Callithrix jacchus: one gene and its partners. The protein of the gene in region 7 purifies or fractionates together with the protein of the main gene of each other region. This does not show direct contact. Links are inferred from orthologs where the notes say so. Each region holds a gene or a part of one and is shown on either strand. Other genes may lie near its edges.

The links.
Region 1: the proteins of MRGBP (region 7) and RUVBL1 purify together in Homo sapiens (co-immunoprecipitation; 6 studies listed by BioGRID and IntAct, counting the BioPlex papers as one, with this or other methods). This does not show direct contact. The link is inferred for Callithrix jacchus from reciprocal best matches to the Homo sapiens genes MRGBP and RUVBL1.
Region 2: the proteins of MRGBP (region 7) and TRRAP purify together in Homo sapiens (co-immunoprecipitation; 3 studies listed by BioGRID and IntAct, counting the BioPlex papers as one, with this or other methods). This does not show direct contact. The link is inferred for Callithrix jacchus from reciprocal best matches to the Homo sapiens genes MRGBP and TRRAP.
Region 3: the proteins of MRGBP (region 7) and VPS72 purify together in Homo sapiens (co-immunoprecipitation; 5 studies listed by BioGRID and IntAct, counting the BioPlex papers as one, with this or other methods). This does not show direct contact. The link is inferred for Callithrix jacchus from reciprocal best matches to the Homo sapiens genes MRGBP and VPS72.
Region 4: the proteins of MRGBP (region 7) and ACTL6A purify together in Homo sapiens (co-immunoprecipitation; 4 studies listed by BioGRID and IntAct, with this or other methods). This does not show direct contact. The link is inferred for Callithrix jacchus from reciprocal best matches to the Homo sapiens genes MRGBP and ACTL6A.
Region 5: the proteins of MRGBP (region 7) and EPC2 purify together in Homo sapiens (co-immunoprecipitation; 4 studies listed by BioGRID and IntAct, counting the BioPlex papers as one, with this or other methods). This does not show direct contact. The link is inferred for Callithrix jacchus from reciprocal best matches to the Homo sapiens genes MRGBP and EPC2.
Region 6: the proteins of MRGBP (region 7) and MBTD1 purify together in Homo sapiens (affinity purification with mass spectrometry; 4 studies listed by BioGRID and IntAct, counting the BioPlex papers as one, with this or other methods). This does not show direct contact. The link is inferred for Callithrix jacchus from reciprocal best matches to the Homo sapiens genes MRGBP and MBTD1.

What each region holds. Positions count from the first base shown.
Region 1 is NC_133516.1:74,067,474-74,070,491, reverse strand, and holds the end of RUVBL1 (ruvB-like 1), read right to left. Parts: intron 2,030-3,018; coding exon 1,938-2,029; intron 939-1,937; coding exon 779-938; 3' UTR 501-778; downstream 1-500. UniProt on the Homo sapiens protein: Possesses single-stranded DNA-stimulated ATPase and ATP-dependent DNA helicase (3' to 5') activity; hexamerization is thought to be critical for ATP hydrolysis and adjacent subunits in the ring-like structure contribute to the ATPase activity.
Region 2 is NC_133503.1:14,584,431-14,587,827, forward strand, and holds the end of TRRAP (transformation/transcription domain-associated protein), read right to left. Parts: intron 2,613-3,397; coding exon 2,409-2,612; intron 2,324-2,408; coding exon 2,129-2,323; intron 1,610-2,128; coding exon 1,325-1,609; 3' UTR 501-1,324; downstream 1-500. UniProt on the Homo sapiens protein: Adapter protein, which is found in various multiprotein chromatin complexes with histone acetyltransferase activity (HAT), which gives a specific tag for epigenetic transcription activation.
Region 3 is NC_133519.1:11,082,130-11,086,070, reverse strand, and holds the start of VPS72 (vacuolar protein sorting-associated protein 72 homolog), read left to right. Parts: upstream 1-1,141; 5' UTR 1,142-1,217; coding exon 1,218-1,334; intron 1,335-3,941. UniProt on the Homo sapiens protein: Deposition-and-exchange histone chaperone specific for H2AZ1, specifically chaperones H2AZ1 and deposits it into nucleosomes.
Region 4 is NC_133516.1:7,806,214-7,809,713, forward strand, and holds part of ACTL6A (actin-like protein 6A), read left to right. Parts: intron 1-105; coding exon 106-212; intron 213-308; coding exon 309-398; intron 399-3,500.
Region 5 is NC_133507.1:81,621,339-81,624,838, forward strand, and holds part of EPC2 (enhancer of polycomb homolog 2), read right to left. Parts: intron 1,498-3,500; coding exon 1,361-1,497; intron 1-1,360. UniProt on the Homo sapiens protein: May play a role in transcription or DNA repair.
Region 6 is NC_133506.1:115,168,035-115,171,534, reverse strand, and holds part of MBTD1 (MBT domain-containing protein 1), read right to left. Parts: intron 1,846-3,500; coding exon 1,711-1,845; intron 1,127-1,710; coding exon 1,038-1,126; intron 824-1,037; coding exon 589-823; intron 1-588. UniProt on the Homo sapiens protein: Chromatin reader component of the NuA4 histone acetyltransferase complex, a multiprotein complex involved in transcriptional activation of select genes principally by acetylation of nucleosomal histones H4 and H2A.
Region 7 is NC_133506.1:58,328,363-58,332,543, reverse strand, and holds the start of MRGBP (MRG/MORF4L-binding protein), read right to left. Parts: upstream 2,801-4,181; 5' UTR 2,758-2,800; coding exon 2,610-2,757; intron 2,293-2,609; coding exon 2,171-2,292; intron 104-2,170; coding exon 22-103; intron 1-21.

The DNA of each region.
Region 1 (3,018 bases), on a different chromosome or scaffold from region 7:
AAAACTTGACCTCAGCCAAATGGTAAAGGTCACCATCATGTTGCTAGCATGTGATAAGAACCGCACATGATATGTGATGAAAACTGGATTTTACCTCTGAGGTCTTTCTTTCCATAATCCACAATCCCAGTCTACTCATGAAAAAAGCATCAGACAAAGCCCAATTGAGGGATGTTCTGCAGAATACCTGATTAGTCCTCCTCAAAACTGTCAGGGTCATCAAGAACATGGAAAATCTAAGAAAATGTCACAGCCAAGAGACATCTAAGGAGACATGACAACTACCTGTAATGGGGTATCATGGATGGAATCCTGGGACAGAAGAAAAGACATTAATTAAAACAGAGAAAATATGAATGCAGTATAATAATGCATCGGTATTGGTCATTCACTGTGACAAATGTGCTATCTGCTGTAACATGTTAACAATAAGGGAAACTGGGTATGAGATACATGTGAACATCCCTGTTGTGTGTTCACAATGACTCTGTACATCTAAAACTGTTCTGAAAAGTTTATTTTTAAAAAACTTAAAGAAGAGAGAGAGATCAAAATAACCTATGAAGATTTATAGAAAACACACCAGGTAAGGAAGGGTTCTTTACAAGCAACCACAGGAAAAGTTATGATAATTTAAAAAGAAATGCTTTCCACACTGAACTGACAGCACTGCAGACCACGCCTGAGTGGGACAGCAGCCCCAAGCCCAGGGGCGAGCTGTCCAGAACTGGGCCAGGCACACCTGGAGAGTCTCTTGCTGCTGAAAACCTCAGCCATCTCACTTCATGTACTTATCCTGCTGGTCAGCAAGAATTTTGGCGGATGACTTGGCATCATAGAAAAGCTCACTGATCTCCTCAACGTGCTCTTTCTCAATGCTGTCCTTCCCGTTGATTTTAGCAAGCAGGTTGGCCGGGGTCAGCAGCTGCACTGAGTACCTAGAGTGGACAGAGGCCAAGGCTGAAGTGAAACTGGGGCCACCAAAGGAAGCCCCTTCCCCCAAATCAGTAGGCAGCACTGGCACCAGAGGCAGTTCCAAATGCTAGGCTTGTGCTAGCTGTTGTGAACACAGAGAAGTGGAAACAAAGTTGTCACTTCTCAGAGAGCTGCAGTCACTACCCCATGAGAGACGGGCCAGGAGCCACGAACAAGACTTAAGTGCTTTCCCCAAATCTTTAGTACAGTCTACAAATTCTCTCCAATAGGAAGTAACGCCACTGCTACTGGAAAAGGACTGCAAACTTAGATGTATACAGGTGCCTAACAGATAGGGATATTTAACATGGCAGGGAAACGAAAACACGGCCAGCTGGAAGTACATGCCTATCGAAAGGCACGAAGACTCCGTCAATTTAAAAAGTCCCCCTTTTCCAGATCTCACAGCTTGCATCTCTGCCTTCAACCTCAGGAGCAAGAACTGACTCAAGGGATGTTGGGAAGGGCTGAGGACTGTGAAGCAATGATTTTACAATAAGTTAGGCCACTGTTAAGGACATGGTCTGCAGGCCCCCAGACATTTTTTATTTGCTTGATAAATATAATGGTTAAATAAAAATGTTAAAGATTTCCCAGGTCTCATAATATCAGCAGGAGAACAGGAGCCAGGGCCCGGGCTAATGAGCTGCCACATGGGCCCTGCTCTCTAGTTCTGTGCACCTTCTCTGCCACAAGAAGGCCCAGGGTCAAAGCACTCTCCACAAGAGGGGAGAATCTGCTGTAGGAAACAGGGAATTCGGCCTTACTCTACCCTGTTAAAAACCATCAGCTAGATCCTCTGCATTTGAAACTCAACTGCCCTGGCACCCAACACACCAGGAAGAGCAGATGGATATAGTACTGTGGCCTGGGAGGGGACCTGCCTTTATTGCCCAGAACGACCACAGCGAGGGCCCTGGCTGTGCTGAGGAGGCCCCGGTGGGCTCAGGGTACCAGCTCACCTCAGTGTGGTCTTGGTGCCAATCTCCCCCAGGTGGTTCAGTGCCTCCTCACTAATGTTGATTCCCTCCGTCTGGGCGCGGATTTTAATGATCTTTTAGAGGAGAAAAAAACACAATCAACAGTGACTGACCTCAAGCACCCCATTTCTAAAGTACTTTAAAGACAATGTCACTCAGTATTTCTCACTGTGCAGCGTAAGAGAAACCAAGACCTGGGCTGGTGGGCAGGGAGCCAACACCTGCCCAGCACTGCCAGCCCAGCACCTTCCAGGCATGTATGGCCCCAAAGTATGCATGAATGGCATCACGGCCAGTGTGCTGTGTTCAACTGATTCAGTGTGGCTGGCGCCTCAGGAGGTGTGTGGCTTCCCAGGTGGCTCACTCTTGACTCCACATCCTGACCTCCCCTGTCCCCAGACAGAGAACTGAGGCCTCTTCTAACCTGCCCTGGGCTCCCTCAAGAGCTCTAACCTTCCTCTCCAGCATGGGTACCACAAGCACTCAGGCAAGAGACATTTTTTATTTGCTTGATAAATATGATGGTTAAATAAATCAAAAAAGTTACTTTTAAAATTTACCAGGCCTCATAACATCACCAGGAGATATCTAATCTATCAAGAAGAGGCTGACGCTTGTTGCAGTTTGAAGATCTTCGTAGAGGTGGAGGGGAGGCAAGCTGGCGGCGGAGACACTGTAACATAGTGGACCAGGATCCTGCAGGCGCACCAGCACTGAGTGATAAGGGGCAGCCGGGATAATGATGTTGTGTGTTGTGGAGCTGAGATAACTGCAGGACTTCGAGCCGCATATAATACAGGAATTTTTCACTTTGGCAGCTTCGTAAACAAGATATCCAGAAGCCCTTGTTGAAATTAAAGCCATAAAAGCACACCCAGGGTAGAGGCCCAGGAGCTGGGAAAGACTGAGTCCCAGCTTCTGCCATCCAGGAGGGAGGAGAGCCAGAGGTTTACTGAGGTGGCCATGTCAAGCCTCACCTGTCAGCTCTCCAGGCCGGGACCCTGCGGGCAGGAGTTCCAGGGGTGGGGAGCCAGTCTCTGATGATCCTGGTTGGGGTTGGGGG
Region 2 (3,397 bases), on a different chromosome or scaffold from region 7:
GAGGGCACATGCTCCTCGGGGACTTTCCCTCCCACGTGAGGGCAGGCGTGGCCATGGTACACACTGGATGAAGCACAAGGAGGAGGTGGAGCTGGGCGCAGAGTGCTTCATGCTGAGCCTCTGGGCATGTTTCAGGCACACTCTGCACACGCTCCACACATGCATGTTACATGGCAGCAGCCTGGAACACATCAACACAGCTGAGGGCTCTGGGTCCCAGCACCCTGACCCACTGCTGAGGTTGGGCCGCCATTACTCGTCGCTGTGACTGAATACGCTCTGAGCTGGCTTCCCATGCCCCAAGTCACAGCTTCCTCTGTGATCACAGCAGCACTGTGCCTGCCCGGGCAGTGCACACCGTCACCAAGAGGCTACCCTGAGGAGCCCACGCTGCCTCTGGGGCCTCTGCTTCCCAAGGGGCTGAGGGACGTTGGGAGGGAAGAAACCTCTCATGGAAACAAGCTGTTTCCATTTTAACATAAATAATGGACAAGAAACCCTTTTATAAAATATTTATTCTAAAAAAAAATCACACTGTACAAATTTAGATAGAACATTCTCAATGCTCAGATTTATAAAAATGTGAACAGAAAGACTGAAGTAGCAAAGGAACTTACATTTCTGTTTTGTCTTTTTAAATTAGGAAGGTAAAAGTGATTTTTCTTCAGGTACAATGATAGTAAACGTCTAGAAGACATCCAAAGAGCCAGAAATAAAAATCGCAGGAGCTGCCTGCAGACTCTCAGTTCTGTCTCCACCAGCGGAATCCAGGTGGATGTGGTGTGGCGCTCCCGCAGGGTGACCCGACCCATGGATCCACGCCGAATGCTCAGCGAGAATCCCAGGGCGGGCTGCGTACAACCTAAAACTCTGTGCTCAGAAAAACCAGCACGATCAGTTCATCATCTCCTGTGTCTCAAGCAAAATGGGTTTTCTATACACTTGTTACAAAGGTCTGTACAAAAGCACGAAGTTGCTGTGAGGTGTTAAAAATGGACGGTTGGGAGCTGCCCGTACGGTTCCGCCTGTACATTCACAGAGGGAGGACACCATAAAAAAGGGACTCACCCAGAAATTCTAGACTGGAGAGTCCTGGTTTCTTAAAAGATCATTTAAAAGCTTGGAGTAAGTTCCAGCTCTACCATTTCTAACCGCCTCGCCCACAGTCGTCACCAGCTCCCTCTTTCACACACAAACTATCAGGAAAGTGACTGCAACCCAGGACTTTCGTGAATAAAATGAACGAGGCAGAGAGAAGTGGTAAAAGCCGCGGGCTCAGAGCCTGGGGCTCCCTTCACATTCTGGGTGGCTGAGGCGGCTGCGGTCACAGCCAGGGGTGCCAGGCGGGGTCCATGCGGCACAGGTTGTCCAGGCTGTTTGCCGCAGCCACCAGGGTGTTCACCTTGCTCTCCCCGCCTTCAAACTGGGCGAGGTTGTGCAGGCGGGTCATGATGGCGGTCACAGCTTTCTGAACTAGGGACACCAGCTGCTGGCTGTCCATGTTCTCTGGCTGCCCAGCAGCCGAGAGAGGAGAGGACGTGTCCTCCTGCGTTTTTTTGTGCCAAGCAATGATCTCGTCCCGGAGCACGGTTTTCAGAATGCCATCCACCTGCGTGAGGGAGAGAACGTGAGGACTTGCGGTGAACCAAGGGCAGCTTCCTCACAAGGCAGGGCTCAGCCACAGCGGCTTCCCAGGGCCACCAGGGCTGGTCAAGCCTCAGCACTGGGCCAGGCCATGTGCCCTCAGGACGGTCTGGGGAAGCCACTGGGGACACATGCCCTCCTCCACTTGAAGCAGCAGCCAGAAGGCCTTGGAGCTGGGCAGCACAAACCTGAGTGGCACAGGCGGCCACACTGCAACTGGGGCTCCATCTGCTTATTTACTTGATGCCTTCCAGTGTCTGCTGAGTGTTGGGCCGGCCTGTTCCAGGCACTACAGCCGAGAGTGAACCAAAGAGAAAACCATCCCCTGCCCTCACAGCAAAGAAGGACGTAACCCATGGGGGTGCTGGCCACAGTGGGAAACGCAGAGCCCACGACGCAGATAAACAGCTCCCGCAAGGCTGTGACGTGCGTGCACCTGAGCGGCTCTGGCCTGTGCCTGTCATCGGATGATGCGGAGACCCACCTTGAAGTTTGGCTGCGCGAAGCACCGGGCCACCGCGATCATGGACGCCGTCAACGGGCCGGAGACGCCGATGGTGGTCAGAAACTCAGAAATGTTGGGTGTGAGGCGGAACGGGACAGGACGGTTGGCATCCAGGTCTCCAGTCGCGTCGTTTATGTCAAATCGAAAGTAGGCAACATTCAGTTTGCCAGTGTCCTAAATTTCAGAAGGAGACACTTTAGGAACTTCAACAGAAAGGCGACGTCTCGAGGAGAGGATCTGGCTGTTCAAACCGGCTTACCTGAGCGATCTGTAACATCTCGGGGTTGAGTCTATTTAAATGCAGGACGAATTCCGCGAAGCCTATCAGAGCCAGCTGGATGGTGAACATCTTACGGAACGTCCAGTAGTCCGTGGCGTTGGGGAAGGTGTGCAGCGCCCACTCCTTCAGCATGCTGCGCGGCACCATGTTACTCTGAACCTCCTTGAGGATGTCGCGAAGGACCTGAAGTACATTGATCCATGACACTTCCACCTAACTCACTCTTTTTTTTTTTTTTTTTGCAAAACAAAAACTCTCAAATTGCAATTAGTCTTTAACTTAGCAGCTAGAGTAAATTCCAGTGAGAGATTTGACACATGCATTGTTATTTGAACACGAGGAGGCACAAGATGGCTCTGTTTCCCTCTGGGTTTGCTGCTGTCCCCTCTAAAGCACCAATGCAGCTGGTCTGCGCCAAAGCCTGTTACCTGATACGCGACACCTGACGAGAATGCAGGTAAATATCGAAACACTTCGACCCTTGCTGACCACAGAATATTTCAGACCAATTAACACAACAAAACAGCTGACACCAGCAGTGCCACTTCCAACCAAGACTGTATACCGAAGACAAATGCTTCACAAACTGAAGGAGCTGCTGTGACCACACACACCACACTTGAGACTGATCTCTGGACTGGAGACTCACAGACCACTGCAGACACCGCCACTCGGTAAGAGTTTACTGAGTTAATGGAGCTCCTGTTTGACTACCTGGTATAGGCCGGGGGTCTCTTCTCAGTTAAGTCCGACCCCCATGCTCCGAATGGCAGTGAGAAAGCATGCCCTTCCGCCGGCAAGAACAAGGCAGGCCGCCCACGACACATGCAGCTCGTTTCCTCGTCTGTCAAATGGGAAGAAGCACTTCTGAGACCTCAAGGATTTCCAAAATCTGCTCCTCAAGCAGTGAGCATGCTGCCAAAACCCATCAAAATCAACTTTTGATGCTAGAATGCTAGAAATTAAAG
Region 3 (3,941 bases), on a different chromosome or scaffold from region 7:
GCGCCTGTAGTCCCAGCTACTCGGGAGGCTGAGGTGGGAGGATTGCTTGAGCCCAAGAGTTCTGGGCTGTAGTGCACTATGCCGATCGGGTGTCCGCACTAAGTTCGGCATCAATATGGTGACCTCCAGGGAGCGGGGGACCACCCGGTTGCCTAAGGAGGGGTGAACTGGCCCAGCTCGGAAACAGAGCAGGTCAAAACTCCCTTGCTGATCAGTAGTGGGATCGTGCTGCACTCCAGCCTGGACAACATAGCAAGACCCCATCTCTTAAAAAATAAATAAATATAAATATAAAATAGGCCGGGTGCGGTGGTTCACACTTGTCATCCCAGCACTTTGGGAGTCCGAGGAGGGTGGATCACCTGAGGTCAGGAGTTCGAGACCAGCCTGGCCAACATAGTGAAATCCTGTCTCTACTAAACATGCAAAAATTAGCCGGGCGTGGTGGCGGGCGCCTGTAATCCCAGCTACTAGGGAGGCTGAGACAGGAGAATTGCTGGAACCGGGGATGTGGAGGTTGCAGTGAGCCAAGATCACGCCACCAAACTCTGCCTGGGAAACAGAGAGAGACTCGACATCAAAAAATAATAATAATGACAAACAGACACAAGAACAGAAATGAGAAAATACCGCATGTTCTCACTCATAGGCGGGTGTTGAACAATGAGAACACATGGACACAGGGAGGGGAGCACTACACACTGGGGTCTGTTGTGGGGAATAGGGGAGGGACGGCGGGGGATAGGGAGTTGGGGAGAGATAGCATAGGGAGAAATGCCAGATATAGGTGAAGGGAAGGAAGGCAGCAAATCACACTGCCACGTGTGTAACTATGCAACTATCTTGCATGTTCTTCACATGTACTCCAAAACCTAAAATGCAATTTAAAAAAAGAAAAATAAATAATAAAATAAATAAAATGTGTTGACTTAGGGTTGTGGGGGGCCATTGTGTCACCAAGTGGACTCATTGAGCAAGGCAGATTATTGGGTGCTAAGGCAAGCGGCTTGGAGGCTCCGCACAGGCATAGGACAGGCTGAAGAGTAAAGAGGATTTAGAGGCAGAGACTAGAAATCTCTCGACACTCTGCTACTTCTGCCTGTAAACGCCCAACTTCCGCCGCTGGCGGCCACCCGCAGGTAGTGGTGTTGAGCGTCGAGCTTCCAGAACCGCGCTGTTGAGGGGTCGCAGGTGGCCGCGAGGTCTAAGTAGACGGTATGAGTTTGGCTGGAGGCCGGGCCCCCCGGAAGACCGCTGGGAACCGGCTTTCGGGGCTTCTGGAGGCAGAGGAAGAAGATGAGTTCTACCAGACGACTTATGGGGGTTTCACAGAGGCAAGATCCGGGCCTGGGAAAAGGGAGGGGAGGAAGCGAAGAGGAGCCCTGAAGGACGCAACCCGGGATAAAGAAGAGGGCGGGGAGTAGAGAGGAGCTCTGGGAGCTGATATTCGAGATGGCTGGGTGAATCGGAGTGTGTGGGTGGGGGCGGGGGAGCGGATAGTTTGTGGAGGCCTAGAAGGGAGAGCTCTGGATGGGGTCAAAGGGGCCTGGGAGGGAGAAGCTCTCAGGAGGCACTATGGAGAACGGCGGAAACCTGCCGTGTACTTCTCTGGTTGCATCTCCCACTGTCCTACTGACGTCCAGCATATGCGAGGCACACGCAGTAGTCAGCTGCTCGGTGTGTACTCGTTGGCCTACTGCTGGGTTATTCATCGGAGACACGGGAAGGAACTGCTCCAAAGGTAGAGGAGCTTAGCCCACTCCTTTTTCAGCTTCAAGTCTCAGTGTACATGTTTTCTCCGAAAGATAACCCTTCCTTGACTATCCTGACAAGTGTCCCCATTTATTACCTTCACAGGACATAGTTCAGCTTGTAATTAGATTTGGTTTGCTTACTTGCTTATACTTTTCTATTGCGTTGTAAACTCTATAAAGTTAGAGACGGTCTGTTTTATTCAACATTATGCGTGAGGTGTCCGGACTGGGCTGCCACTTGCTGAATTTTTATTAGTTGAATCTACCTATTTATTAAATGTGTTGAGAACCCAGAGCATGCCATTGGTGATAGGTTGTGTTAGGCTCTGTTTTCTAGGGAAACAGAATATTAAAAACACTGTTCTGTCCTTACATACTCGATACCCCAGTGGGGTAACTGGCTGGGTTAACAGTCAGTTAAAATACTGTGTGATAGGCCTGTCGCGGTGGTTCACGCCTGTAATCTCAGCACTTTGGGAGGCCGAGGCGGGCGGATCACCTGAGGTCAGGAGATCTCGACCAGCCTGACCAACATGGTGAAACCCCATCTCTACTAAAAATAAAAAAATTAGCTGGGCATGGTGGCACGCACCTGTAATCCCAGCTACTTGGGAAACTGAGGCTGGAGAATCACTTGAACCCAGAAGGCAGAGGTTGCAGTGATCGGGGATCATGCCATTGCACTCCGGCCTGGGTGACAAGAATGAAACTCCATCTCAAAAAATAAATAAATAATAAATAGCCGGGCTCGGTGGCTCACGCCTGTAATCCCAGCACTTTGGGAGGCCGAGGTGGGTGGATCACGAGGTCAAGAGATTGAGACCATCCTGGTCAACATGGTGAAACCCCGTCTCTACTAAAAATACAAAAAACTAGCTGGGCACGGTGGCGCATGCCTGTAGTCCCAGCTACTCAGGAGGCTGAGGTAAGAGAATTGCCTGAACCCAGGAGGCAGAGGTTGCGGTGAGCCGAGATCTCACCATTGCACTCCAGCCTGGGTAACAATAGCAAAACTCCGTCTCAAATAAATAAATAAATAATAAATAAAGTTTAAAAAAAGTCTGGGTGTGGGTGGCTCACACTTGTAATCCCAGCACTTTGGGAGGCCGAGGTGGGCGGATCACCTGAGGTCAGGAGTTCTCGACCATCCTGACCAACATGGTGAAACCCCGTATCTACTAAAAATACAAAAATTAGCTGGATGTGGTGGTATGTGCCTGTAGTCCCAGCTACTTGGGAGGCTGAGGCAGGAGAATTGCTTGAACCCTGGAGGCAGAGGTTGCAGTGAGCTGAGATTGTGCCACTGCACTCCAGCCTGGCACCTGGTGACAGAGTGAGAGACTGTGTGTCAAAAAAAAAATACTGTGTGATAAGGACTAAAACAAGGGGTAAGATAGAGTGCAAAGGTAATACATGTGAGCCAAAGTTTTTAATCAGGATAGGCATCCCTGGAGAGATGATGTTTAAGCTGAGGAGTTTGAAAAGTAGGCCTTGGCTTGGTGAAAAGCAGGAGGAGAAAGGTTAGTCCACAGAGCAGGTTGGGTAGAGTAGGTAAAGTTGAGATCTTTGTCTGGGACCTGCAAGTCTACTCTCATCCTCCAGAGCATGAAGGAGACTAAATATTGATAAGCCTGGAGGGAGTAGGCATGGGCCACATCATTGGCGGCCTTGTGAGCCATGTTAAGGAGTTTTGCTCTTCATCCAGAGGACTGAGATGAGTCATCAGAGTTCCATGATGAAATTTGTTCCTTAGAAAGATTACTTATGGCTGGGCGAGGTGCCTCATGCCTGTAATCCCAGCACTTTGGGAGGCTGAGGTGGGCAGATCACCTGACGTTGGGAGTTAGAGACCAGTCTGACCAACACGGAGAAACCCCGTCTCTACTAAAGATATAAAATTAGCTGGGTGTGGTGGTACATGCATGTAATCCCAGCTACTCAGGAGGCTGAGGCAGAATCACTTGAACCTGGGAGGCTGAAGTTGTGAACGGAGATCGCACCACTGCACTCCAGCCTGGGCAACAAGAGCAAAACTTCATCTAAAAAAAAATAAATAAATAAAGATTACTTACTTTGTAATGAGAATGGCTAGAAGGGGGCATGGTGGTAAAGAAACAGAACCCACAGAATTTAGGGGCCCATCGCGATGGCTCATGCCTGTAATCCCAGCACTTTGGGAGTCCAGGA
Region 4 (3,500 bases), on a different chromosome or scaffold from region 7:
CATTTTACCTGAAAAAGTTATTCATATAAACACAACCACGGAGGAAATTTGTTACAGGAAGTTTAGACTTAATGCTGTCTTAGCCTCGTTTCATGTGTCTCGTAGGCATTGTGAAATCCCCTCTTGCTGGAGACTTTATTACTATGCAATGCAGAGAGCTCTTCCAAGAAATGAATATTGAATTGGTTCCTCCATATATGATTGCATCAAAAGTGAGTAATTATTGACTTTTCTTTGTAGAACTTACCTCCAGCTCCCCACCCCTATGAAATGAACTCCATTAACCCAGCATCTCTTGGTCCTCTCAGGAAGCTGTTCGGGAAGGATCTCCAGCAAACTGGAAAAGAAAGGAGAAGTTGCCACAGGTTACGAGGTCTTGGCACAATTATATGTGTAATGTAAGTAACTTTATTCTCTTTACAAAAATGTTGTAGACTTTTTCCATGAGTATTAAAAAAAAGTTAGATATAGGCTATAAATCCTTGAGTAAAATATGGGTACTTTATATTTTCAAGCACTTTATTTTTTTATTACTAAATATATTTTGAAGATTAAATAGAACATGATTTCAGGGTCACGCTCTATATTTTTAATGATATTTTACTAAAAAAAGAACTTTGCTAGGGGAGGCATGCTTTTCATATTTGCCAAACAAATATCTCTACAAATTACTACATATTCACTTGGATTACTGTGGTGAGACCTGGAAGGAATTTTAGTTTCATGCTATTCTTCTGAACATCCTTGGCTGAGAAATGGTTTCAGGTGTTCTAGAGACTTACTAGTATGTCTCAGCTCGTTCTGTTTCCCAGCATCAGTCAGCCATATGAAAAATGTGTTTTTGTTCAGAACAAGGAACCCGTGAGAGATTCTCTTTACTAAAAACCCATCTCTGAACATATGGCTTACTGATGGGGAAGAGGTTAGTAAAACAACCTGACACCACAGATACAGTGTAATTTCTTTTTTTTTTAAAAAAAAAACATATTTTAGGATCAGGGTACACAAGCAGGTTTGTTATATAGATAAACTTATATCACGGGGGTTTGTTACACAGATTATTGTCTCCCAGGTACTAAGCTTAGCACCCAATAGTTACTTTGTGTACTCCTCTCTCAGGGAGGCCCCACTGTCTGTATTTCCTTCTTTGTGTCCATGTATTATCATCATCTAGCTCCCACTTGTAAGTGAAAGCGTGTGGTATTTGTTTGATTTCCTGTTCCCGTGTTTGCTGAGGATAATGGTCTCCGGCTCCATCCATGTTCCTTCAAAGGACATGATCTCATTCTCTTTTTTTCACTGCATAGTATTCCATGGTATGTATATACTGCATTTTCTTTATCCAGTCTTCCACTGATGGGCATTTAAGTTGATTTTGTGTGTTTGCTATTGTGAATAGTGGTGCAGTGAACATATGCACACATGTGTCTTTATGATAGGCTGATTTATGTTCCTTTGGGTATAAACCCAGTAATGAGATGGCTGGGTCAGATGGTAGTTCTGGGCCAGGCATGGTGTCTCAGGCCTATAATTTGAGAGGCTGAGGTGGGTAGATCCTTTGAGCCCAGGAGTTTGAGACCAGGCTGGGAAACATGGCAAAACCCTGTCTCTACAAAAACATAGAAAAATAGCCTAAGTTGGTCTGGGCGCAGTGGCTCATGCCTGTAATCAAGCACTTGGGCAGCCGAGGCAGACGGATCACCTGAGATCAGGAGTTCAAAACCAGCCTGGCCAACGTGGTGAAACCCTGTCTGTACTAAAAAATATAAAAAAATTAGCTGGGCATGGTGGTAGGCACCTGTAATCCCAGCTACTCAGGAATCTTAGACAGGGGAATTGCTTGAACCTGGGAGGCGGAGGTTGCAGTGAGCCAACACAGTGCCACTGCACTCCAGCCTGGGTTACAGAGTGAGATTTCTTCCCAAAACAACAAAAAAATAAAAATCAGCTAAGTGTGGGGGTGTGCACCTTGAGTCCTAGCTACTTGGGAGACTGAGGTGGGAGAATCACCTGACCCCAGGGAGGTCGAGGCTGCAGTGAGCTGTGATTGCCCCATTGCACACTAGCCTGGGCAGCAGAGTGAGACCCTTATCTCAAAAAAAAACCCCAAATGGTAGTTCTGTTTTTAGCTTTTTGAGGAATTGCCACACTACTTTCAACAATGTTTGAACTAATTTACATTCCCACCAAAAGTGAATAAACGTTTCCTTTTCTCTGCAACCTTGTCAGCAGCATATGTTATTTTAATTTTATTATTATTGTTTTTGTTTTTTTTTTCCAAGACAGAGTCTTGCTCCGTTGCCCAGGCTGTAGTGCATTCATACAATCTTGGCTCCCTGCAACTTCCGCCTCCACCTCCTGAGTTCAAGTGATTCTTCTGCTTCAGTCTCCTGAGTAGCTGGAATTATAGGCACATGCTGCCACACCCGGCTAATTTTTGTATTTTTAGTAGAGATGAGGTTTCACCATGTTGACCAGGCTGGTCTCAAACTCTTGACCTTGTGATCTACCCTCCTTGGCCTCCCAAAGTGCTGGGATTACAGGTGCGAGCCACCACACTCAGCCCTATTTTTTTTGCTTTTTAATAACAGCCATTCTGACTGGTGTGAGATGATATCTCATTGTGGTTTTAATTTTCATTTCTCTGATGATCGGTGATAATGAGCTGTTTTTCATATGGTGTTGGCCGAATGTATGTTTTCTTCTGAAGTGTCTGTTCATGTCCTTTGCCCACTTTTTAATGAGGCAGTTTGTTTTTTCTTTGTAAATTTGTTTAAGTTCCTTATAGAAGCTGGGTATTAGACCTTTGTTAGAGACATAGTTTGCAAATACTTTCTCCACTTCCGTAGGTTGTTTACTCTGTTGATAAAAATTAATATATAACTAACAAAAGAAAGTAAGAGTAAAATTATGAGTCATAATTTACTATGAGAAGGATTATATCTACCTGACAGGTTTTTAAAAAATTATTTCATATATATATATATATATATATATATACACACATATATATTTTTAAAGACAGGGTCGGTCACATGTGGTGGCTCACATCTGTAATCCCAGCACTTTGGGAGGCTGAGGTGGGTGGATCCCAAGGTCAAGAGATGGAGACTATCCTGACCAACATGGTAAAACCCCGTCTCTACTAAAAGTACAAAAATTAGCCAAGTTTGGAGCTGGGCACCTGTAATCCCAGCTACTTTGGAGGCTGAGGCAGGAGAATTGCTTGAACCTGGGATGTGGAGGTTGCAGTGAGCTGAAATTGCACAACTGCATTCAAGCCTGGATGACCAAGCAAGACTGAAAAAAAAAGTAAAGATAGAGTCTCGCTCTGTCACCCAAACTGGAGTGCAGTGGTGTATTTGTAGTTCAGTGCAGCCTCAAACACCTGGGCTCCTCCCGCCTCAGCCTCCTAAAGGACTACAGGTGCACGCCACCATGCCTGGCTAATTTTTTTATTTTTTATTTCTTTTATATTATTTTAATTTTATTTTTTTTGA
Region 5 (3,500 bases), on a different chromosome or scaffold from region 7:
AAAATTGAGTAAACCTCAGTTATTAGAATTATAGATATGGTTAGAGATTATTGTTTTGGAATTATAGAGCAATAAAACTTAAGATCTAAAATGCAAGCTTTATTTTTTCAGGTGGTTCAAATTTGAAATATATTTCTTAATATTATTTTTAGTGGCTTAAAACAGAAACTGATTATCATACAGCTCTGTAGGCCAGAAGTCCACAATGAATCTTACAGGGTTAAAATCAAGGTAATGGCAGGGCTGGTTCCTTCTGGCAATTATAGTTTTATTAAGTATTTTTATTCTGATCTCTAGCATCTTTATTTAGTAGTGTCTATTAACAACTTCCCCTAGTGGCAATTTTCCTCTTCATTTTTAAAACTTTTATTCTATTTTTTTGAGAGAGAGTCTGACTCCATCACCCAGGCTGGAGTGCAGTGGTGCAATCTCAGCTCACTGAAACCTCCACCTCCTGGGTTTAAGCGATCCTCATGCCTCAGCCTCCCACGTAGCTGGGATTACAGGCATGTACCACCATGAGCAGCTTATTTTTGCATTTTTAGCACAGACAGAGTTTTGCCATGTTGCTCAGGCTGGTCTTGAACAACTGACTGCAAGTGATCCACCGTGCCTGGCTGCAATTTTCTTCTATAGGGAAATGTGATTCACAACAGCAAGGGGTTATGCTATTAAATGTATTTCACAATTCAAGTGAATTACTACCCAGCTCATGGCGCACAGCCACACGGCACTTAAACACATAGTTTAGAAAGTGGTTAGGAAAGCTGTATCTTAAAAAAAAAAATATTTGGGGGAGTGGCAGTGGAGAATGATTCTTACAACTAAATAACTAGTTCTATAAATTCTCAACAACCCTTCAAGAAAAAAATTAAAAATATCATATTTGGCTCTAGGACTCTTCTCAAAATATTAGAAGACTAGTTTATAAGCTAGCCACTTGAAATTACGTATATTAACTGAAAAGAAATTCAGGTTAGGGCCTGGCACAGTGGCTCACACCTGTAATCCCAGCACTTTGGAAGGCTGAGGATCACGACGTCAGGAGTTCAAGACCAGCCTGGCCAAGATGGTGAAACCACATCTCTACTAAAAATACAAAAATTAGCTGGGTGTGGTGGCAGGCGCCTCCCTGACTTGGGAGGCTGAGGCAGGAGAATTGCCTGAACCTGGGCAGCAGAGGTTGCAGTGAGCTGAGATTGCGCCACTGCACTCCAGCCTGGGTGACAGAGTGAGGGTTAGATCCCTCAAATCAACAGTGGCAAAACCAAGATTATCTTCTGTGAACTTGACTAAAACTGAACAAAGCTACGTAATGATGAAAGAAACAGACATAACTATGATGAAACGACAAGTTTACCTGTGCTTTTGGATGTGTCTGTTGCGAGGAATGCTGAGATTGCTGTTTCTGCTGAAGTTGGGCAAGCTGCTGCCTTTGCATCTGAACCAACTGCTGCTGATGTGTCTGAAACTGCTCTTCTGTGATACCCCCTGTTACTGGTAAAGAATATGAATTTTGGAAATGAGTACATTTTAAAGAATTTTTAATAACACAAGCAGAATACAATATAAACTTATTCCACAATTAAGATGAAAGCAATTACGAATCGCAGTATGGTTTATCAGAAAATAATCTAATGAAAATGGCAAATCTTTCAGCAAGTGTGGTGTAACACTTGTATCTATGATCTCCATCATATGCCAACAAAAGTGCCTAAATGTAGTTTTTGTTGAATAATAGAGTTCTAACATAAATATTTTACCATTTTTTCAGACTTAGTATCTTTGATACCACTCTTAATTTTTCATATGATGAGCATGTAATGAGAAAAACTTTGATTTATTCATGTAAATAATAATAATAATAATAATGATTAAGTTATAGCCCTAATAAGAAAGCAGGACCATCTCCAAGACTGTAAATGATTTTTACTGCTGGTTTCATATAACACTGAGGTGAAAATACTTTATTCTCTGATTACAAATCAGAGTAAGGAACAACATTCATCTAACATAACCATAAACCACAGTTTCAGCCAATAGATTCAATGCCTAAAATAAATCCATCCATAAAATTATGGGCTAGAAATCAGACAAGTATTCAGAAAACTGAAGATACTATATATCCTCAGATATAATAAATTCTATTTTGACCAACTGTGTTAAAAGTGTGTTTCAAATGAAAACAAGACATCTACAACTTCTGTTGAACAGATCAGCTAAGTTACAAAAAACATTTTTCTCAAAGAAATGTAAACAAAATTTCATTAATTGATATTTAAGTAAATCACTGATAAACTGATTTAGAAAACACAAAACCATTTCCATGGAAGTCAGTACATTAATATTAAGAGTCAAGAAAAATTAAATGACATGAGAATACATGTACTTCAGAGTAATTTTGCTCTATTTTCTTGATTGCTTGCCCTCTTTTCTCCCAATTATTTCAATCAACAAATATTTGCTATCTACTATAATGCAGAATGTTGCACTGAGTTATAGTGAATATAGAGGAAAACAAATGAATAAGAGGATGTCTGGTACAAAGTCTTGGAACGTAGTTGGGAAAAAATGACAGACACAGGAAATATCAATTAATGAATCAACCTTTACATGCAACTGAGTGACCTAACCAATATCACCCTAAAGGAGTTTAGATTGGCAACTACAGCCTCAATCTAGCTTACTTAACTCTCCCAAGTTTTCTGTTGAGTAGAATCACAAATGAATAATTAAAAAAATTTTTTTATGGTAAACTAGACATATAACTAGTCTATTTTCTATGAAAAAGGAGTTACGCCCCAGAGATGAACAAAGCTTTAGATATACTCTCACTTCTGTTCCACAATATTATCATTAGAATTTATATTGGACAGTAAGGGGAAAACAGTTCTTAGATAGCAATTTTGTTTTTAAAAGATTCAACACCTTGGGGCTATTACAGTGTTCACTCTAAACTTTTAATATTACCTTTATTTTTGAAGTACATATTAGTTATCTTACTGAATTACCAACAAAATCAAATGTCTTTCTTTGCACATGTTAAATTCACTGAAAGTGCTCTATTTTTAAATGAAAAAAATTTTTTAAATTCTAAATTTACAATCTTCAAACTCAAATGAAAATGTGAAGTATTCATGAATTTCCAGCTGTTTGAAAACCTTGGTGAAAGAGATGAAAAATAGTTTATTACATACAAAGACAGAAAGAAAAATCTTAAATTAAACCCAAATAAATGTGTTTAAGTCCTATGTGTACAGTATATCAATTCAAAAGAAATGGACTTGGAATCTGGTATTATTACAACAGTCCTTAAGCCCAGTGTCAAGTGTGTCCAGAGTTAAGCTGTACATTCTGATGAAAAGGTAAGAGGCACAGTGATTAACATTAAGTGAGGAATAAACCAAATAGCACATATACTTTCAGTGACTATTTCAAAATTGAGAAATGAGAATGAGAATTTTTTCTTTTCTAAAATCTTTTAAGTCAGTTGATAAAAT
Region 6 (3,500 bases), about 57 Mb from region 7:
ACTAATCTGTCAGCATTTGTGAGAAGACCAAAAACCACGTTCTTTGAAGGCTTCAAACTCTCAAAGTATGTCACACTATAAAACATGGCAAAAAGACATGCCTTCTACATTTGGGATGAATACTATCCTTTAATAGTCTTTTCTCTCTTCAGCGTACATGTGCAGCATATATGCTTCTAAATACATTTAGCCAATTTTAATGCTCATAGTTTTAATGTAATTCCCTAGAGAATTACAACTTTAGAAGTATGTTTTCATGTGCTTAGTATTAAATCTACCACATTTAATCTCGCTGTTTTGATTAAAACTGAATGAAAAGGGAAAGGTATCTTTAGATCTTTCAAATGGGCTGAATAATAAAAGAAACAATTGTAGTTGTGACCAAAAGTGCATTCGTTTGGAGAACAAGTGGAAGGAGTATAAAAAAATTTACTAGGACACCAATATGGTGTGAACCTCCACTAATTAAGGTTGAATAAGCATCCCAAACCAACTATGTTTGATCTACGCAATACTGTAGAGAAAAGTAACTAGTATAATTCAACCTCAATGATACTTTCGACAGGAGTTCTTGTGATAGGTGCTTACCAGATCTTTTGAAACGATGACCTATGCTTCGAGACCAACCGATATGATGAATCAATGGGCTATGCATATGGCACCAGAAGTCATCTGTTCTATCTTCGCTTTCTTCATACACTAGTCTTAATCTTCCTCCAATTACACTTTCCACAACTGCTACTCGTGTTCGACACAAATGCCTCTTGTCAACCACTTCTACTCTCATGCAAGGTTTGAAAGGATACTGCATACTCTCTGAAACCTTAAAACAAAAGAATACAAAAAAAAAAAAAAAAACTGCTCGAAATTTGTGACAAATGTCTACAAGGAATTTTCGTATTATACTGTAAAAAATACTGAATGTGCTTGAAATATAACACAGATCATCAGGTTCACAAAATTAAACCAATTCTTTAAAAATGTTTGTTACCCTTGTTTTATAGAGCTCTTCAGTCTTTATAAGATCCTGTTTTTACCTTTTGTGAGAAATCAGGAGGAAGTGTTTTGGCACCAGTGAGTCGTTTCACTAAAAAAGCTTTCCAGTTTGTATACTTATGCTGAATAGCTAAAATAGAAGAAATAACCAGTTACACTTTGCAAAAAAGAAGTGCTTCATAAACTGTTTTAAAAAAGGTAACAAATTTCCTTGCAAGTCAGACTACTAACATTCTGAAAAGTAAATATACAGAAAGCAAGTATAGGTCTTGCCAGCAAAAGGCTGCTTGACACCAAAAAAAATTATTTTAATTTCTTTGTTTTTTTTTGAGATGGAGTCTTGCTCTGTCGCCCAGGCTGGAGTGTAGTGGTGCAATCTCAGCTCAGGAGTGATTGCAACCTCCATCTCCTGGGTTCAAGCGATTTTTCTGCCTCTGCCTCCTGAGTAGCTGGGCTACAGGCACACGCCAACATGCCGGGCTAATTTTTGTACTTTTAGTAAAGACAGGGTGTCGCCATGTTGGTTGGTCAGGCTGGTCTCAAACTCCTGACCTCAACTGATTCACCTGCCTTGGCCTCCCAAAGTGCTGGGATTACACGCATGAGTCCCTATGCCAGGTCTTTAATTTCCATATTACTTTAACATTACTATGTGTAAAACAGCATTAAAGTACACATATATAAAATTACAGTAAGGGTAAATGAGCTACTTACTTCTAGGAGGAACAAGAGGTTTTCCGCTGGCTGCACACCAACCAACTGGATGGATATCAGAACCACATATATTGCACCAAAAGTCCAGAGCAGAGTCACTTTCAAATCCTTCATATCTTAAAAGGGCGTTGTAACCTGAAACCCAGAATTAAATCACTACACAGTAATAAAATTAAATAAAACAGTAGAGCATCTGATAGCAGTTGTCAAACTAGTGTCTATCTGCAGTAGAATCACCTGAAGGGTTTGTTAACAGACAGATGGCTGGGTCCCACTCCAGAGATTCTGATTTTGTAGATCTTGGGTGGAACTGAGAATATGCCTTTTTAACAAGTCCTCAGGTGATGCTCTTGCTGCTGGTCTAGGGACCAAACTTTGAGAAGCATTTGTTCAGTGTAGTTAGTTCAACTGTTTTCAGAGCATGGCATCCTTGAATGTATTTCAACTGTACCCATAATTTCTTTTTCTTTTCTTTCTTGAGATGGAGTCTTGCTCTGTTGCCTAGGCTGGAGTGCAGAGGCACGATCTTGCCTCACTATAACCTTGACCTCCTGGGTTTAAGTGATTCTCTTACCTCACATTCCTGAGTAGCTGGGATTACAGATATATATATATAATTATGTATATAACATATATATTATATAATATATAATATAAAACATAAATATGTATTATTTATATTATATATAATTACATATATGAATTTATGGAGATAGGATCTTGCTCTATCACTCAGGTTGGAGTGTACTAGTATGATCTTGGCTTGCTGCACCTCCACCTCCTGGGTTCAAGTGATTCTCCTACCTCAGCCTCCAAGTAGCTGGGATTACAGGTATGTGCCACCACGCCCAGCTAATGTTTGTATTTTGAAGAGACACGGTTTCACCATGTTGGTCAAGCTGGTCTTGAACTCCCGATCTCAGGTGATCTGCTCGCCTTGGTCTCCCAAAGTGCTAGGAATACAGGCATGAGCCACTGTGTCTGACCTTAAAGTATATTTCAAAGAAATTGCTTTATCCAGCAGCTTAGGTGGACAATTACTCCTCGGTAATTTCAATGTGGCTACTTTAAGAATCTAAATTTTTCTGTCCTATGTATTTAGAAATGAGATTTGAATATGCCAGGTAAAAAGTTTAATAAACACAAAGAAAATCATGTAAAATGAGTTAAAAACTGTATGTCCTAGGCTAATAGGAATCCTTGTTCTTGGAAAGCACAAAAAATAAGTAATATATCCTATTTATAATTTTATAAACTTTCTGACGATAAAAGATTCAGATTTAATTTAAGGCCTTTAATGAAATAGAAAAGGGCCAATATATGTGTATTGCAGGTTAGGAGCCAAGTTCAGTCAGCATTTTCATGTCTGTGAAAATTTATATCATTAAACGTTCAGTTTTAAAATTCAGTAATTTCACAGAACGATTTATGAGTTTGCTAATTATTGCTGAACTCTAGCTTCTGGTTAACATTAGGCTTACTTCCACAATGGGATTAAAGAGGCTTAAAAGAAGATACATGATGCAATTAGATAAACAAGAAATGTAAAATCAGAGATGGAAGGCTGAAGTAACTTTTCGACAGTAAATGCACTGATCTTAAGAGCTATTTAAATGTAACTAACTTAAACACCCAGGACAAAAATAATATGCTGTTGTTTTAAATTACAGTGTAGAGAATAAGCATTTGCTGAATGCTTATACAGCAGGGAAAATGTTACAAGAAAAAGATGGGGAATTGACCTGGATAATACAGTTAAGTACAGAGATGGGACACTCTTGCAAGAGGTG
Region 7 (4,181 bases):
CCAACCTCTCCCGTGTCTCACCTTCTCGGACCTCCTGAATGATCTCTTCTGGAAGGACGAAGTTCCTCTCTGAATTCGGGAACGGAAGAATCTCAGATTCGTGCTGATGTCCAAGAGTTTGGTTTAAGAAACAGGAGGGGGCGAGGTGGAGGCCGAAAATAAAAAAAAGAAACAGAAAATGTGGTTGCAACAAGTTACTGTGGCCGTATCACAGCCACCTGGGGGTGGCCAGTGAGTGCACAGTGCTGTGCTGAGGCCGCAGTAGGTGGGGTCTGGGCAAAGGGCATTTCTTTTTGTGGGTAGCACCAGCTGTGGCTGGGCTTTCCAGAGACTCAGGGAGGGCAGGACCAGTGGAAGCAGCCGCAGGAGTCAGGAAGAAGCAACAGGGCGGCATCACTAAGGGGGGCCCTGAGGATGGGTCAGCGCTGGTGACGCACCCTGTGGGCACCGCCTGCACTCCACGGCCTGTGGTCTCACCATGAGACTGCTTCCCCCAAGGCGGCATGCAGAGGGCATGGTGACAGCCCCAGGGAGAGGCTGCAGGTGCCTCAAGTTCCCCTCCGTGTGGCAGGAGCCCACGGACACTAAGGGTGTTGGCTGGGATGCCACAGTTACAGAATGGGGAGACAGGCAGAGCAGGTGGGGCAGGGCCCCGAGTGCCTGCCAGGCACTACCCTCCTTCGGTCACACAGACCAGAGGGAGACCAGGAGCCAGGGAAAGTGGAGCTGGCCAGAAGAGCCCTGGACTAGGAGGTGGATTCAGGAGACAGAGGCTCCGCTTGGCAGTTTGGGTGCTGTGTGGAGCAGGCAGTCGGGCCACATCTGTGCTCCTCAAAATCTCCTGGGCCTGCTGGTCAGCCTCTCGGGTGGACTCCAGAGGCTCTGTATTTCATTAAGTCTGGATGACTCGGACCTCAGCCACACAGAAGTGCCATGGTCCAGAGAAGGTGCCAGCCCCATGGTCTTGCCCAGTCCTTACTGATGCCACAGGCTACTGAAGGAATAAGGCATGGGGCCACCATTCTGGGGCTGAGAGGCCTGGTGGTCTCATGCGCTCCCTGAGTGTCATGTGGGCTGCTGTGCTCATCTGAGCGAGCACCGGAGCCCCAGGGGACATTACGGGCCTTGGAGCTGTCTGTCTTCCCCAGACACAGGCAGAGAGCTGCACCCATCTCTCTAAATCCCAGTGTGGGAGGTATCTGGGGACCAGGCGCCCTTTCCCACAACTGAGAAGCTGCTGACCCCAGGAGTTCGATGACAGACACGCTCTAGGCAGGAGTGGGGAGGACCTTGTGAGGTTAGTGGTCAGCTGCGCCTGGGCCACTAGGCACTGGTCACCCAATGCTGTACCAGCTCAGAACATCCTCAATGCAGGACGTGGCAGCCACAGGGGTGTGAGCTCCCAGGGCCCTTCCAGGGCTGGGTGTACTTCCTCTCCTTACACAGCCCTCTGCACAGCTGGCATCTCTGTCCGCTTTCTACAGCTATGACAAGGAAACCCACTTCACTCGTCCAGTGGCAACCATTCCCTGCCTCGGCAGTGCCCACATCTTACTGGGAGGGCAGGCGTGGCCCTAAGTCCATCAGGGCAGGCACAGACTCTCTTTCCACCAGCAGAGGTCCCCCTCCTCCTGGTGACCTGCCCCGACCCCCACCCCACTCTCCAGCCGCACCCCCTACCTCTTCTGGCCACCCTGCTTCCTAGTTCACCTGCTAGCCCGTCACACGCCAGCTCCGAGCTCTGTGAGGATTGGAACACCACTTGTCTAACTCCCACAGAAGCCACCAAATTCGCCTTGGTGTGACTCGGATAGGGTCATCGTCTGCCTAAAGCACTTCTGGGGCCTCCCAGGAGACTGGCAATGGCCAAGGGCCCCAGCCTCTGCATCCCTCCCTCCCTCCCTCCCGAGTCTCAGCTGCCCAGTCATCTCCCGGGAGGCTCTGGTCCAGCACCCAGTCAAATGCAGGCCGCCTGAAAAGCTGACCAGCCGCTCGCACTGGTTTGTGCTTCCCATGACAATCTCTCGAGCCACCGCAAGTAGCCCGCAGCTCCGTCCAGCAGACCCCAGCAGGCATGGAGGGGCCTCTGCCCAGCTCAGGCTGACCCTCAGAGAGCGGCGTGCGGGTTCGCGCCCCCACCCGGCGGCACAGGGAGGGCGGTCGGGCTCACCAGCGCCTGCATGTCGTACATGGTGCTCAGGTGGTCCCAGATGACCTTGGATGGGACCTGCCGTCCTATGTTCTGGCTGAACTTGTCCCGGATACAAATCATGTGGAAGTGTCGGTTCACACCTGCGGCAGGAGGGGCGGCGGGGCAACCGGTGAGCCGGGAGGACGGGACGGAGGCGACGGGCGGCCCCGGGGAACGGAGGGGCAAGGGTGGCTGCGGAGGGAGGCGGCGGGGCCGGGGAAGCGGAGGGGCTGCTGGGGGCAGGGCTGAGTGCTGCGTGGGAGGGGCGGGGGCCCCGGGCGGGGCCCACGGGAGGGGGCGGGGTCCCGGGCGGGGTGTGGCGGGGAGCGTGGGGCGCGGGTGTCGCGAGCGCTGGCCCTGCCCCGCCCCGCCGGTTGCCCGCCCCGCCCCCACGCGCGTCCGCGGCCTGGGCGCTCACCGACGGGCTTGTGGCCCAGCATGGCGTGGAAAAGGCACACCTCCACCTCGGGGCTCCACACCACCGTCTCCTCCGCCGGGCTGGTGGCCGCCTCCCCCGGGCCCTTATCGCCCGCGGAGCCCCCGCCGCCCACCTCGGCCTCTCCCATGGCCGCGGCGCGGCCGAGCGAGAAGCCCCCAGCGGGAGCAGGCGCGGCCACGGGCTCCGCGCAGGCGCACTGGGCGGCGTGCGCGCGCTCCGCCGGGCACGCGCTAGGACTCACGCGCCAGGGTCCGCGCAGGCGCAGCGGAGGGCGGGGACGTTTCCCGCCCGGACCCGGCCCTGCTCCGCCCCGCGCCGGGGTGCTTCAAACGTGTTTCTCTTAGAAACGCGGCAGAAAGAACACTGCATCCAAAGAAAAAGTCTGCGCTACAAAGAAAACCGTCACAAAAGTGAAAAGACGACCCACAGACTGGGAGAAAATATTTGCAAATCCCGTATTAATAAGGAACTTCCTGGCAGAAGGTATAAATAATTCTTATAACTCAGTTATATAAAGAGTCTAACTATAAAACGGCAACGGATTTGGATACACATTTTTCCAAAGAAGATATACAGATGGGCTGGGCGCGGTGGCTCACGGCTGTCATCCCAGCACTTTGGGAGGCCGAGGCGGGCGGATCACCTGAGGTCTGGAGTTCCAGACCAGCCTGACCAACATGGTGAAAGCCCGTCTCTACTAAAAATACAAAATTAGCCAGGCGTAGTGGCGCGGCCACTTGTGATCCCAGCTACTCCGGGAGCTGAGGTAGGAGAATCCCTTGAACCCAGGAGGCGGAGGTTGCAGTGAGCCGAGATCGCGCCACTGCACTCCATCCTGGGCAACAAGGGCGAAATTCCATCTCAAAAAAAAATCTAGTCTGGCTGTTCCTCAGACGATGGAACCGTCTCCCTAGGAGGCGGCAGCTCCCAGGCGGGCGCCAGCGGCGGTGGAAGAACGCGCAGGTCCAGGCCGGGACCCGCCCCCAGCGCCCCCAGGGTGTAGCTCCTGCAGCCGCCAGGCGAGCGTCGCCCCCAAGCCCGGGGCGGAACCCGCAAGGGGCGCACGGAGCGCGGACACCCGCATTGCGCAGCCGCGTGCAGCGGGAAGGGAGAGAGCAGCGTGGGTGCGGCTGAAACGCTAAGTCAGAGAACTCAGACACCGAAATACACGGCGAGGGAATCCATTCACAGGAAGAGCCAGAACGCCCACGCGCGGTTGCCAGTGACCGGGGAGGAGGGAAACGCGAGGCAGTGCGATGGGCACCGGCTTCGTTTTTGTTTGCTTTTGAAACCGAATCTCGCTCTGTCGCCCAAGCTGGGTGCAGCGGCGCGATCTCGGCTCACTGCAACCTCCGCCTCCTGGGTTCAAGCGATCCTTCTGCCTCAGACTCCCGAGTAGCCGGATTACAGGCGTGCGCCACCCCCGGCTAATTTTTGTATTTTTAGTAGAGACGGGGGTTTCACCGTGTTGGCCAGGCTGGTCTCGAACTCCTAGACCCGAGGTGACCCGCCCGCCTCGGCCTCCCGAAGTGCTGGGGTGACGGGTGGGAG